Linked DNA regions of Diceros bicornis minor. The protein of the gene in region 2 interacts with the protein of the main gene of each other region in a pairwise test. Links are inferred from orthologs where the notes say so. Each region holds a gene or a part of one and is shown on either strand. Other genes may lie near its edges.

Region 1 (7,476 bases), on a different chromosome or scaffold from region 2:
TTGTGTGTGTGTGTGAGCACACAGAGATGTATGTGCATGTACAGCCCCAGACAACAGTAAACATCTACTCAGCACTTACTATATGTTAGGCAATGTTTTGAGAGCTTTCCATGAATCAGCCCATTTAATCCTCACAATACTATGAGGTGGGTCCCATTATGATCTCCATTTTGGAGATGAGTAAACTGAGGCATAGAGAGCTCTTAACCATTTTGCTATTCTGCCTCTCATTTAAACTTCATAGCAATTCTACAAATTACATGTCATTTCAATTTTACAGATGAGGAAGTACGTTCCAAAAGATTAAGCATTTCAGAGCCAGCCCTGATGGCCTAGTGGTTAAAGTTTGGTGTGCTCCGCTTTGGCAGCCCGAGTTTGGTTCGTGGGTGCAGAACCACACTTCTATCCGCCAGTAGCCATGCTGTGGCAGTGGCTCACATAGAAGTAGAAGGACCTACAACTAGAATATACAACTATGTACTAGGGCTTTGGAGAGGGAAAGAAAAACGAGAGAGAGGAAGATCAGCAACTGATGTTAGCTCAGAGCAAATCTTTCCCAGCAAAAAAAAAAAAAAAGATTAAGCACTTTACCCAAAGCCACCCAGTTAGTAAATGACTGAGTTGGAATACTTGGCCAAGCTTGTCTGAGTTCAATATCCCTTGTTCAGTCTGCTTTTATCAATAGAGACAGATGCTTGACCTTTCTGTGCCTTGGTTTTGCCATCCATAAAATAGGAGGAAATCAACCTAGTGTCAAATATAAAAAATCCTAGCCTGGTCATCTTTGGAAGATCTACCTTTTTGGGGTGGAGGTAGGGTGATAAATTTCAACACTGGCCAGCCCTCCTGGGACCCTTGCTGGACAGAATTCTGGAAAACAGCTTCATTCCTGTCTTCAGAAGGTCTGACAGGGCCAGAGGAGAAAGCCTGAAATAGAACTGGCTGCCCTTAAGCCTCCACGGGCTCAAGGAAGCTGTTTGTCTAGCTCTGAATAACCCATTCTACGAAGACTATTCTGGGAATTGCCTTATGTGGCAGGGCATTGGCCTGGAGGATTCTGCTGCGCCACATGAGCCCTCCTCCTCATCCCCACCATCGGAGATAAGAACTGACACTATGCAGCCTTGAGGAATGCAAGTTAAAAAGTGTGAAGATATTTAAAAGCATGAAAAGTTATCACAAGGAAGGTGGGAACCAGTTCGTCTCCATCTCTACTGAAGCCTGGACAAGAGGACAGGGATTTAGATTAGATGTAAAGAACTTCCTGATACAGCAGAGAGAGGCTGGAACAGATTACGTCAGGTTCAAGAAAACGAGCTGTGAATCTATTCAGACCAACAGAAATGTAACGGAGCCACACATGTAACTTTAATTTTTTAGTTGCCACATTAAAAAAATAAAGAGGTGAAGTTAATTTTTATAATGTATTTTATTTAGCCCAATATATCCAAAATATTAACAATATAAAATAATGTAATCAATGTAAAAATACTCAGTGAGATATTTCATATTGTTTTTCATACTGTTTTCAAAACCAGTGTGTATTTTACGCTTACAGCATATCTCAGTTCAGACTAGCCCCATCTCAAGTGCTCAATAACCACATGTGGCTAGTGGCTACTGCACTGGGCAGCATATCTAGAATTACTAATGACTGTCTGACACCCAATGGCAAATACAAGGTGTAGTCTGGCTTTATCTAAAGGCAGAAAGTTCTCTAGAAGACCTGAGGGCCTATGAGGGTGAAGGCCAAGAAAACCCTACCTTTTGGAGCCCTTCTCATTGCTAGAAATACGAAGACTCATCACCCTCCGGCAATTCTTAGAACCCACTCCGCAGTGTTCTCTGTTCTCTTTCAGTAGGGGGACCCCGGGCTCCCTCAGGTCTGTCAGATTCAGTGTTTGGTGGCTTGTTAACCCAGGTGGGAAGAGCACTGCCCAGAAGAGCAAGGAAAAGGGTTCCATCCTGGGGTGGACGAGGTAGCCCTATTCTCTCCCCAGCAGGAGATGATGCTCTTTACCCTGGCCAGTCCATCATCTTGCTGGTGTGAATGGCTGTTCGCAGGAGGAGCCAGGCCAGACAGAGGGGATGGAGAGGTGCAAACCTACCCCTTGTCTGAGGTATGGTTGGTGACATAAGCCCTGACCCAGCCCAGCCCATCTTACCTGCACTATTCCGCGTTCTCTGTTTGCAGCACCCCTCCTCCAGGTATCTGCACAGCCCTCCCCCTCACCTTGTTCTCACCTCTGCACAATGTCATCTGCTCTAAAAAAGCCAGCCCCATCCACCACCCCATCACTCTCTCTCTTCACACCCTGTTTTATTTTTCTTCAGCACTTACCACTACCTGACATTATAAATTTAGTTGTTCATTGTCTGCCTTCCTCGTTAAAACGTGAATTCCAGGAGAGCAGGGTCTTCATCTGGTTCACCACTGTACGCCCAGGGCCTAGCTAGAGAGAGAAATCTGATAACAGATGAGCCAGGGCTATAAAAAGTCTGATACCGACTGTTGGCGAGGAAGTGGGGCCTGAGGACCCCCACACACTGCTGACTGGAGTGCACATTGGTACAAATACCTAGGATAGCAATCTGGCATTATGCCAAAATAGCAAAGACTTGTATCTGATGCCCCAGAAATTCCATTCCTAGGTATATACTCCAGAGAAATGCTTATACATGTACCCCAGGAGATACATGCAAAAATGTTCATAGCAGCATTGTTTGTAAGAACAAAAAATGAAAAATAACCTAAATTTCCTAAATGTGATGTATTCATATAGTGGAATACTATACAGCAGTTAAAGTGAATTAACTAGAGCTATACATATCTCATGGATGAATCTCACTAATAAAATATGGAGCAAAAAAGAGAAAGTTGCAGAAGAATACACAGACAGTTCCTGATTTAGGATGGTTCGACTTAACGTTTTTCAACTTTATGATGTTGTGATAGCGATACGCATTCAGTAGAAACTGTACTTCGAATTTTGAATTTTGATCTTTTCCTGGGCTAGTGATGTGCAGTACGTAGTCTCCTGTGACGCCGGCCAGCGGCAACAGCCACAGCGCCCAGTTACCCACACGATCACGAGGGTGAACAACCGATACACCTACAACCATCCTGCACCCACAGAGCCACTCTGTTTGTCACTTTCAGTACAGTAGTCAATAAATTTCATAAGATATTCAACACTCTATTTAGAAAATGGGCTTTGTGTTAGATGATTTTGCCCAACTGTTAGGCTAATGTAAATGTTCTGAGCACATTTAAGGTAGTAAGCTATGATGTTCAGTAGGTTAGTGTATTAAATGTATTTTTGACTTGAGATATTTTCAACTTATGATGAGTTTATTGGGACGTAATCCCCTCGTAAGTAGAGAACGATCCGTATACAACAGGTCAAACTAAATGATATATTGCTTAGGATACATATACACATATATGCATAACATACATACACATATATATGCATAATGAGTATAAGGGGAAGGATGGGGATGACAAACACCAAATTCAGGAGGCGATGTTATCCAGGGAGAAGGAGAGGTACACAGGGAGTTTCAACTATATTTGTAACAGTTTATTTTTTTAAACAAGGTGGCAAGTAAAGGGTACTGGTTATTTTTTATAATTTCCTGCATGTTTGAATTATGACTTTTTTTTAAAGAGCCAGGACTAAGGAGTCTTACACAAAGGAGAGGGAGAAGCTGGGGCCCTACTTGTGAGGAGATTCGGAGCTGTCCTTGCCACCCTCTGGACCCAGAACCCAGAGTAAATGAGCTAAGGACTCTGACGTCTGCCCACTAAGGGTGAGACACAGCACGGTGAAGCCTCTCCTGTGGGTGAGGAGGGGAGGGAAGGACGTTCGGACGCTGCGCATCTCCGTTCAGAACCTAGGTACTGGCTGCTCCCCACCGTCTGGGCTGCAAAGAACCCCAGGTGAAGCCGTGGGGAGACCGGGAGGGCACACGCACATGAGTGCACAAGCCTGCATCCCACACGCACACCAAGTGCACAGGCTGACACCCCCACGCTGACACACACCGCCTTTCACACAACCTGGCACGGACACTCTGACAGTTTACAACACAGTTACACGCCCTCGCGCACTCACACAGACATACACACACCCCTTCCACCACCCACTCCAACCAGGACCCCAGAAGTGGAGACGTTGCAGAGCCTGCCAGCTGCAGGCCCTGCCAACCCTCCCTCTCTTCTAATGCTGGGTTTTTCCAGCTGGAGCCTCACTCCCTCTACTGCAATCTCTGGAAATTCGTGTCTGACGCGGCTGCTCCTGCACATTATTTATTTATTTCCTCTTTGCCTCCCGCTGAGACCCTCCTGTCAGGAGAGCTGCAGCCCGGGAAGGGAGACAGGCGGGAAGCTGTGGGGACAGAGGAGGCAGAGAGGACGGAGGGCAGGACCACGCAGAAGCCCCCACTCTGCTCAACAAGCTCATCAAGCCCCACAGGGGCCATGAGCACCAAGCAGGAGGCCGGGAGAGAGGAGGGAGACACCAGTAGGAGGGGACAGGAGGGACAGCTTCGGGACCGAGCCCACCTGAGCCAGCAGCGCCGGCTCAAACAGGCCACCCAGTTCCTGCACAAGGACTCAGCCGACCTGCTCCCCCTGGACAGCCTTAAGAGACTCGGCACCTCCAAGGACTTGGTGAGGCAGCCCTCTCCCCTCCCCACCCCCATGGAAGTCCCCTGGCCCTTTCTCTCTGCTTCCCCACATCCTGAGGAGCAGGGGGGGAGGACCCTAAAGTGTAGACCCTAAACCTTCAGACTCCCCCTCCCTTGTTGAGAATGGGGGAGAGAGAGTCCCACTAACTCGAGGGGCTTTGCCTTGACCATTCTCAGGCTCTTGGCTGGGGATGTTCCCATGGCTTGGTGGCTCGGAGGGACCCTATTCTGATCGCTCGGCTTCCCCCAAACAGTCCAAGGCTCACCTTGGGGGTGGTGAGGAGCTGTACTGTTTAGGAGTAGAGACTTACAGGGACACGAGAAACTTCTGGAGCAGTCATTTATGGCTGCAAGGGCCTGGAGGACTAGTCAGTTTAGGGTTGTGATTTCCCTCCTCTCCCTAAACCACAGACCCCTTCATACCAGGCCTGACCATTCATTTGCCTCTTCCCTTCAGAATGAATGCATTCAAGGCCTCTGTCCTTGCCAGAGCCATCAGGAATTCATATGCCCTCCTTGGGTGCCTCCTTGCTCCCTCCTAGGCGCAATGGCCCTTCCAGGCTCCTTCCCTCCATTCCCTTGCAGCAGCTTTGCCCTCCAGAGGGAATGGGGTTGGGGGAATGACAACAAGGAGGTGAGTGGATCAGGGGTCAACTGCATGTATGCATCTCTCTGAGACAGTGGTTCAAGTGTGAGCTTTGGAGTCACCCAGCCTGGGTTCAGATCCTGGCTCCGCCAGTCACTAACTTGGGCAAGTTACTTTACGTCTCTGTGTTGTAGTTTCTCCATCTGTTAAATGAGGATAAAATTAACAGTATCTACCTCATAGGGTTGTTGTGAGAGTTATATGAGCTGATACCTATAAAGAAGTTAGAACAGCGCCTGATAACAGAAGGCACCACCTAAAAGCTAACTATTATCATTCCTCCAGCTATTGTTCCAGTCAGCCTGAGAGAGCAAGTAAGATCTGTAGGGTCCAGAGAACATGGAATCATGTCTGGCTCTGGCTCAGAGAAGAAAGGAGGGCTTCTGTAGAAGGGAGCACTCCGTTCTCTCTCCATCTCCTAGCCAGGTCTGAGAGGAGGGTACCTTGCAACCTGAGAGGCACAAAGCCATTCCTGCAGCCCCTTCTTCCTGGGAATCTGGAGGCAAACGCGGCCCCTCACTGCCTTTCCTGACCTAGTCCTACCTTTCCACATTCCTCGCAGCCAAATGTTCCCCTCCAGGAACCCAGCCCAGAGGCCAGGCAATCCCCTAACTCCATCTCAGCAGTCCCCAAAGAGGAAAAGTGATCAGACTGAGATTTCAATTCAGAGAGCCTCCAGGGGCTTGTTCTTCCTGGCAAAAACAGCAAGCACAGCTGAGAAACAGGGATGGAACAGGGAAGCAGTTTCTTTGGCTCCCAGTGGCTAGGGCCTTATAGCTTCTCCCCTTTGGGGACCATCCTACATAGATCTGGCCCTGGAGAAGATGCTCTATTAAAACTGCCATCCCAGAGTGGCAGGTCCAGCTTTCTGATGAGAAAGTCCTGGGCTTTTCACCTCTCCCTTCTGCCTCAGGACCTCCCGAATTGATCTCAAGCAGTTCCCTTGTGTGGCTTTAGGAGTGAAGACACAACAGCTGGAAGGACCTCATTGCCTCCTTCCCTGGGATAGTTCTGGAGCAAACCACACAGCGGTAGGGAGCCTGAAGCCTGCATCCACCGTGGGAAAGGTGGGAGGGGAGCTGGGAACTGCAGAGCCCTGTTTCCGGCCAGTCCCAGAGCTCACTGCCCTTTTCCCAGAGCTGTCTCCTGCTGGCAGCCTTGTGGTGGGAGCAGCCCCGAGGGCCGCATTAAGCCAAGGGTAGAAAAACAATCCCAGGCTCCCAAGGAGAGAGGGCAGGTGGAGAAGCATGTGCAGAGCCTGGAGGAATAGTCATTCTTCAGCAAGCATTGAGTGCTTACTATATTCTGAGCTAAGCCTTGAGATATAAAGATGAGTGAGGTACACACCTGACCCCAAGGGCTCTCCAGGCTATTGGGGGAGTGAAATCCACAAACAACATCTGTGAGAAGCATGACAAAGGGAGCTAAGAGATGGGATGCCGCCCCAGCCTGTGTGTGGAGGGAAGAGTACTTAAGAGGTCAGAGAGGGCTTCCTGGAGGAGGTAAACCCTGCTCTAATTATGGAATGCACATAGAATCCCACACTTAAGATAAAAATTTCTCTCCCGAATAGAGTAGTTCCTGAACAAAGTGTATTGAGCTAGTCATCCAGCCTGACCTAGAGAAGAGTGAGAAAGAGGAGCTTCAGGAAGAGGAGCAAGCAGCAGCAAAGGCATGGAGGTGAAAAACAGCCCGGTACAAGCAGTCTAAGCAGGCCCACTGGGGCGGACATTCGGAGATGGGGAGATGAGGCTGAAGACTCAGGCAGTAGCCAGGTCATCTGGGCTGTCACTTTAAAAAGCTTGGGTTGGGGCCGGCCCCGTGGCTTAGCAGTTAAGTGCGCGCGCTCCGCTACTGGTGGCCCAGGGTTCAGATCCTGGGCGCACACAGATGCACCGCTTATCCAGCCATGCTGAGGTCGCGTCCCACGTGCAGCAACTAGAAGGATGTGCAACTATGACATACAACTATCTACTGGGGCTTTGGGGAGAAAAAGGAAAAAAGGAGGAGGAGGATTGGCAATAGATGTTAGCTCAGGGCCAGTCTTCCTCAGCAAAAAAAGAGGAGTGGCATGGATGTTAGCTCAGGGCTGATCTTTCTCACAAAAAAAAAAAAAAAAAAAAGCTTGGGCTCTACCA
Region 2 (7,974 bases):
CAGACAGTTAGGTTGTTTCCATATCTTAGCTACTGTGAATAATACTGCAATGAACATGGGGTTGTAGACATCTCTTCGAGATACTGATTTCTTTCCTTTGGATAAATACCTGGAAGCGAGATTGCTGGATCATATGGTAATTCTATTTTGAACTTTTTGAGGAACCTCCCTACTGTTTTCCATAATGGCACTCCCACCAACAGTGCACAAGGGTTCCCTTTTCTCCACATCCTCACCAACACTTGTTATCTCTTGTCTTTCTGATAATAGCCATTCTAACAGGTGGGAGGTGATATCTTATTGTGGTTTTGATTTGCAGTTCCCTGATGATTGGTGATGTTGAGCATCTTTTCATGTACCTGTATGTCTTCTTTGGAAAAATGTCTATTCAGGTCCTCTGCCCACTTTAAAATCAGGTTGTTTTTTAGCTATTGAGTTGTATGAGTTCTTTATATATTTTGGATATTAACTGATTATCAGATAGATGGTTTGCAAATATTTTCTCCCATTCTTTAGGTTGCCTTTTCATTTTGCTGCACCAAACTTTTTAGCATGATGTAGTCCCACTTTTCTTTTTTTTTTTTTATTTTGTTGCCTGTGATTTTGGTGTCATATCCAAAAAATCATTGCCAAGACCAATATCAAGGAGCTTTTTCCCTCTGTTTTTTTCTAGGAGTTTTATGGTTTCAGGTCTTATATTTAAGTATTTCATCCATTTTGAGTTAATTTTATGTATGGTGTAAGATAGGGGTCAAATTTCCTTCTTTTGCATGTGAATATTCATTCAACAACACCACCATTTACTGAAGAGACTGTCCTTTCCTCATTGTATATTCTTGGTGCCCTTGTCAAAGATTAGATGACCAAATATGTGTGGGTTTATTTCTGGGCTCTGTATTCTGCTCCATTGATCTATATGTCTATTTTTATGCCAACACCATACTGTTTTGATTACTATAGCTTTGTAATATAGCTTGAAGTCAGGGATCATGATGCCTCCAGCTTTGTTCTTTCTCAGGATTGCTTTGGCTATTTGGGGTCTTTTGTGGTTTCACACAAATTTTAGGATTGGTTTTTCTATTTCTGTGGAAAACGACATTGGAATTTTGATAAGGATTGCATTGAGTCTGTAGATGGCTTTGAGTAGTATGGACATTTTAACAATATTAATTCTTCCAATCCATGAGCACGGAACCTCTTTCCATTTATTTGTGTCTTCAGTTTCTTTCATCAGTGTCTTACAATTTTCAGTGTACAGGTCTTTTACCTCCTTCGTAAAGTTTATTCTTAAGTATTTTATTCTTTTGATGCTGTTGTGAATGGGGTTGTCATCTTCATTTCTTTGTCAGACAGTTTGTTGTTAGTGCATAGAAACACAACTGATTTCTGTGTGCTGATTTTGCATCCTGCAACTTTACTGAATTCATTTATTAGTTCTAACGGTTTTTTGGTGGAGTCTTTAGGGTTTTCTATGTACAAGATCATGTCATCTGCAAATAGAGACAATTTAACTTCTTCCTTTCTGATTTAGGTGCCTTTTCTTTTTCTTGCCTCAGTGCTCTGGCTAGGGCTTCCAGTCCTATGTTGAATAGAAGTGGTGAGAGTGGGCATTTTGTCTTGTTCCTGAGCTTGGAGGAAAAGCTTTCAACCTTTCACTGTTGAGTGTGTTGTTAGCTCTGGGCTTGTCATATATGGCCTTTATTACATTGAGGTTTGTTTCTCCTATACCCTGTTTGTTGAGGGTTTTTATCATGTAGGATGTTGAGTTTTGTCAAATGCTTTTCCTTCATCTATTAAGATGACCATATGATTTCTATCCTTCATTTTGTTAATGTGGGGTAGCATATTACAGACAGGTGTGTCTCCTCTGGGTCCCTGAGTGGGCAGGACTGCTCCTGGACCATGGCTAAGAGAGGCTAGAGCCGGTCCCAGGGCCGCTTCAGGGCCCACAGCCAGAACCAAATTCAGCAGGCCTGTTACCAAAGGCATAGGCAGGCCTGATTCCTGCCAGGTCCCTTGGCAGGTGGTGCTGGTGGCAGGACAAAGGCCAAATGGAGCTGCAGTCAAGTCCATGGGAGGATGGGCCTGATTCTGGGTCTGTGACTGAGACCAAGGTCAGCAAGTCAGACACCTGGGTGCAGGCTGACTCACAATGACCCTGCTTGGTCTTGGGCTCCACCAATGTTTCACAGTCTCTACCTGGATCCCAAAGGTCTCTCAAAGGGTCTTCTGTCTGTGGATGGCTACCAAATTATTGTTGCTGAGGTGGGATATGATGGGGGACCTCCTATTCCGCCATGTTGCTGACATCACTTCCTGGTCCTTAAATCTCTTGACTGTCCAGAACATGTGGCCATGGCCTGTCTCAGGTCTGGGTGGAATCCATGGCAGGGGCAGATGGGGCTCTGGTGGGTGCTGGGTGCTGCTTCTTCCCATTTCCCCTGAATTATCCTATGAGCTCTATCCCCAAGACTCCAGTTCACCCCCAAACCTTATCCCATAAGTGCCTCTGTGTGAAGCAGAAAGAGGTGTCCTGGGGTGGGGGAGGAATTACAGAAGAGGCCCCCATGGTGGACCAGCTACAACAGGGCATTGTTCAGGGCAGTCTCCACAGCCATGGGTGGTGGCCAGTGGCCAGTGGTGCCCAGAGTTCCCCATCTCAGGGAATGGTGCTTCGGTCTCTCCAGTTTTACATGTCTGCAGACCCAGGCTGCATCCCTGATGCCCCCTCTCCCTTACTCCCTTACTCCTCAGTATCAGATTCAGGGGCAGGTCCTATTGATTTCACCCCTTGGAATCTCTTGATTCTGTCCACTTCTCTGCATCTCAGTCTCCATTGTGACCACCCTAGTCCAGGCCTCCATCATCTCTTGCCTGGACCCCTGCCATAGCCTCCTCAAATGCTCCCTCCAAATCAGTACCCCTCCTCCCACCCTCAATTCATTTTCCAGCACTCCAGCCTGAGTGACTTTTGAATATGCAAATCTGATCATATACACCCTTGCCCCAAACCTTGTAAAGCCTTTCCATTACTTGAGGATCAAGACAAAATTTGTCCCTTGGCCAATAAGGACCTGCATAGCCCACATCCTAACTACCTTTCCTGTGACATCTCACAACCTTCCTCCTCAAAGCTCTAACACAGCCATAGCTGTGTGACCCTGGGTGTGTAGCTTAACTTCTCTGAACTTCATGTTGTTCACAAAGAATAGGGATCATAATAAGATGTGCCTGGCTTGAGGTGTGGTAACTCAACACATGGTAACGTGATCATTTCCTGAGTCAGACCCTCTGCTAAACCCTTTACAAACTCTGCTTCAATGAATCCTCCCAATATCCCAGGAGCTGTGCGTTGGAGCCAATTTCCCTGCTGGGCAGGAAGGAGCAGGCAAACCCATACCTGAAAGAGAGCTCAGACGAGGACTTTGTGATATTTTGAAATAATGTGAAAAATATCACCCTACATTTATCGGCTTTCTAGTTGGATATTCACGTATTTATGTTAACAATTCTTACATAGTTATGAGTTTAGATTCCTCTGTGATTGAGGCAGAGGTGGGGCTAGAAAGCACGGCTCTCCAGAACTTTTCTCCCCTGGTCCTCTCTCAGGATTTTTGTGGTTAGCTTTTCAATTCTCTTCCCCACTGTGAGCAGACTCTAGACCAAGGTGTTTCTGATTCCAAACCCCACTTCTGTGTGTCCTTGCTGAACAATTTTTGCAATCTCTCTGAGACTGTTCCTCAACTCTAAACAGGACAGATGTCATTTCAATATCAGCATCTTTTCCAGCACTGACTTTCTGTGGTTCTTTGGAATTTCTTTAAGGCACTTTTCCTGCAAAGGAATCCAGCGCCCGGCCTCAGCAGAACCCCTGGTGTTAAATCCTGGAGGACATGCTAACTCAACAAGGTTGCCCCAGGCCGCACAGCTGGTTACTGCCCTGAATCACGTTTTCATTAGTGGGAAAGGGAAGGGGGCAGGAGACTCTGGGAAAAGCGTTTTATTTTTCAAATGAAAACAGCTCCCTCGTTTTGTGTTTGGATGATCATTGTAAATAACTCGGAAAATAGAGGTGAGTACGTATAAAGAAGAAAAATGAAAAGCAATGGTAACGCCAGCACACAGAGATAGAGAAGCAGGAAAGTTTCTGGGAATTGTCTATTTCCAGGTAGGGGAATAGGGATTTTTCCCTACCAGTACCCACAAAGGCGCATTTACGCTATATAAATATAATATAACCACATTCATACTATATTTATATTCATATGTAATATAGCTTATACATTACATATATACATATTATACATAATATATTAATTACATAAAAATGCATAGGCATATAATTTATATATATTGTTTCCACGCGCGTGCACTCGCGACTGTCTGGACAGACGCTGGGGACCCTTGAACACCACCAGTATTTGGGGGAACCCCGCCGGAACCGGAGCACGGGCCGGGCGCAGCTGCCTCGAGCATCTGAACTACAAGTCCCAGTGGCCCAAGGGGCGCGCGCGGGACACGCGACCGGAGTGCGGACAGACTACAAGTACCGGCAAAGCATGGCGCAGAGGCACGGACTACAAGCCCCAGGATGCACTGCTCGCGGTTCGCGCAGGGCCCCCCGGGATATGTAGTCATGGGGGGGGAGCTAATTCCTATTCATTCAGCCTCAAAGAAAATGCAAATTCTTCCAACGGTCCACCGACGCGACTTCTCACGGCCTAGCGAGGAGACCGAGCGCACGATGGGGAAGAAAGAACTCTGCAGGGCCCAAACTGTGGCACGGAAGAAGGACGCGTGCGCATGCTCTGCGGTCGTCGGCGCAGGCGACAGCGACCTCGGGAGGCCACGAGCGGCAAGCCCCGCCCCCTTCCCCGCCCCCGCTCTCGGAGCGCCCCGCCCAGGGAGCCTGCGCAGACGGTGCAGGGCGGAGGGCCGCGGGGAGGGACTCCTGGCGCCTGCGCAGACCCGCGGCTTCTCTCGCGAGGACGGACGCCATTATCGCATCTCCCCGACAAACACCACGAGAATTCCGCAGCCCACACGGTAATTGCAGCTCCCGCAGTCGGTCGCGTCTCCACCTCCCCCTTCCCGCGGGGCGAGAGCGAGAGCGAGATCTCCCCTCCTCCCTCCACCCTGCGCCCTCCTCCGGCCGCCGCGCCCGCCGCCCCCGCCCGGGACACCCTGTCCGGGCCGCGGACGGCCCGCCGCCCCTTCAGCCTCCTCAGGCCCCCGGCCCGCCGCCCGCTCGGCCCCCTCAGCCGTCTCCGCGCCCTCGGGCCCCGGCCTCGCCCCCTCAGCCCCGCCGCCTCCTCAGCTCCTCCGGACCTGACCCCGTCCCCGCCGCCCCCTCAGCGCCCTCGGACCTGTTAGCCCTCCGGGCCCTCCTGCCCGGGTCCTGCCGTCCGCCCTCAGAGCCCTGGTCCCGTCAGTTCCCCGCCGTCCCGCCGGCCCCGTCCGCCCGGCCGGGGGCTTGACCGCCTCGGTCCCGGGCCCTGCGCACTCGCGTTCCCCGAGGAGGGTGGTATCCGCTTCTGTGCATCTCCCCCCACTGCCGTGCGGGCCGTGGACGGGCGGGGGCGGCCCGGCCCTGCGTCCCCCCCGTGGGAGCGGCCCCGCCGGCCCCCGCGCCCGGACGGACGCTCGCGGCTGCCGGACGTGCCGGCCGGGTTGTCACCTGTTTGGGAAAGTGGAAAAACCGAGAAGGCACAGAACGCCCCGCGGTGTCGCGCCCCGTCAGGCGGACTTCCGATCGAGCGCCCGCGGGGCCCGTGAAACGGAGCCCGGGCGTCGGGACGCAGACGCGGAGCCTCTGATGGCGGGGTTCACGAGGGAGAGGGAACGGGGGCAGGCCGGGAGGGGGCGGCTGGGGGCCTCGGTGGAGGCGGCTGTCGCCCCCCTCCCCGCCCCCCCCCAGTATTTTTTGCCGTGTCTGTGATTGCATCTTTTCGAGTTGTGGCCTTAGCTTTTTGCACGGAGGTGCTGTCCTCACAGCCCGTGCCCCGCTGTGCGCACTGAGGACGCCGCCTCGGGGGGCCGGGTCTCCCTGGGGGCCGGGGGCGGGGCGGAGGAGTCACCTCCCCTGAGAACGCGGACCCGGGCCTCCAGCGTAGGGAGCCCGCCCCGAGGCCCGCTCACAGTCCGACGACGGGGACAGGTGATCTCCGCGGGGAGTCGCCCGTCCGCCCGACGGCGCTGCTGCGCAGCCCCGAGGTGACTGGTGACGAGAGCGGACCGTCCTTCTGAGGGGGCAGGGGCACGGAGGTTTGGGAGACGGAGGCTGACGGGGCAGTTGCGTGGTCCTCAGGACGTGCGGGAGGGAGGCGCCCCTCAGAGCGCAGGTGATGTCGTTGACGTTCGGCTTGTGGGCCAGCCCTGGACAAACGTCCGGTGGGGAAACGCCAGAATTGCCCGCACAGTTCGTTCTGTATGTTCAGCTCCTTTCCCCTCTGTCTTGCAATGAGAACAAGAATATGTTCTTGGGATGTTGGACTGTGTCATCGTGGGCTTTAATTTTGAAAAGTCAGCTGCCATTTCTGGGTCGTGTGCTGTGGCCGGGACTGCTGACCCTTTCCGGTGACTCCCGACACGACGACGCGGGGAGGCCGAGACCGCTCCGTCTGACAGAGGAGGCGCTGAGGCCGGGAGGCTAGGGGCCGCCGAGGCCACGGAGCCGCGGTGAGCTGTCTGGAGGCTGTGCGCTTAACAGTGCAGACGTGCGCTTCGTGTTGTCACGTAGCGTCCAGGTGAGGTGTCCATACGGCGAAAGCAGCAGTCCCCTGTGCCGCCTTTCAGTCCCACTCCCCAAAGACTTGTGTTTTTGTTGTTTCTTCAGGAAGGTCTCCAAAGCTCTCAACAATAAGCTGGTGTTTTGTTGATTTTACACATTGTTGACTTTTTGTTACGAAAGGATGCTTTAGCTCTCCTGTCGGATCTCACTCCTCTATACCCTGAATTCACTATGTTCAGTTAACTCAGATGGTTTGTAACTGCAGATATTGTTTGCTTCACAGCCAAGTAATGCATTTCCCTCACACAGCTTGATGTGTTTGCTGTCGTTTGTAATGGCCTTTCTTTTTCTTTGCGTTTTCTGCTCCCATTGACTGCTTATATTGTTTTAAATTCTCAAGGATAGTGTCACATCTCTCCAACTTTCCCCCTCCTCCCCAGCCCTCTGTTCTCTTTTTCCAGTCTGGATTGATTTTTAGGCCAGCACAGGTATTATCCTGATATTTTCTTTTCTTATACATCTGGGTTTGTTCAGGACTCCATGTTTTAATCTTGGCTTCCTTCATCATTTCAATGAGAACCTTCTGCCAAGTAGATGTATTCCTTTTGGGTAACTCTTAAGGATCCTCTTTGGTTTTAGGACATTCCCAGAGTGTCAAAAAATGTGGAATCCCATTCCGAATGCTCTTTGACTCTGGGAAATTCTCTTGTATCATTTATTTGAGAATTTCTTCCACTTTGCTTTTACTCTTCTCAATTTGGGTTCCTGTTTGATGATGGTCATCTTGGATTGACCCCCTGAATCTCTTTGTCTTCTTCCTGTGTCATTTTATTCTCATTTCTGGGAAAGGGCTTCAGTTTATCTTCCAATCTTATTTTAAGTTTTTATTTCCACAATCGAAATTTTAATGTCCAAGAGCTTATTTTTTCTGTTTTTTTTCATAGAAACTTATTGTTTTATGAATACATTCGTTGTCTCCTTGACTCTGAGGATACAAATAAGGGTTTTAGTTCTCTTTTTGTTCTCTGATTTCTTGTTTCCTCTAGTGTCACTGTTGTTTTCTTTTTTAACTTGGTGGCTTCTTGTTTCATATAGCAAGTGCTCCTCAAATATTGGTAATTATTGTCTAAGGCAAGAGGAAGTGGGCAGAAAGCTCCGAGTCTGTGGGGCTCGTCTTGAAAATACGTGGGTTTCCCTTTGGGTGATTGGGAACTTACTACTGTGCTGGGTCCTCAAATGCCAGA

The links. The genes of interacting proteins can lie anywhere in the genome.
Region 1: the proteins of BANP (region 2) and NRIP2 interact in binary tests that used the Homo sapiens proteins (3 or more experiments, as listed by UniProt). The two-hybrid records come from large-scale screens. The link is inferred for Diceros bicornis minor from reciprocal best matches to the Homo sapiens genes BANP and NRIP2.

What each region holds. Positions count from the first base shown.
Region 1 is NC_080756.1:58,536,868-58,544,343, forward strand, and holds the start of NRIP2 (nuclear receptor-interacting protein 2), read left to right. Parts: upstream 1-4,468; 5' UTR 4,469-4,483; coding exon 4,484-4,675; intron 4,676-7,476. UniProt on the Homo sapiens protein: Down-regulates transcriptional activation by nuclear receptors such as NR1F2.
Region 2 is NC_080771.1:36,394,102-36,402,075, forward strand, and holds the start of BANP (protein BANP), read left to right. Parts: upstream 1-4,969; 5' UTR 4,970-5,046; intron 5,047-5,883; exon of another isoform or gene 5,884-6,746; intron 6,747-7,974. UniProt on the Homo sapiens protein: Controls V(D)J recombination during T-cell development by repressing T-cell receptor (TCR) beta enhancer function. Binds to scaffold/matrix attachment region beta (S/MARbeta), an ATC-rich DNA sequence located upstream of the TCR beta enhancer.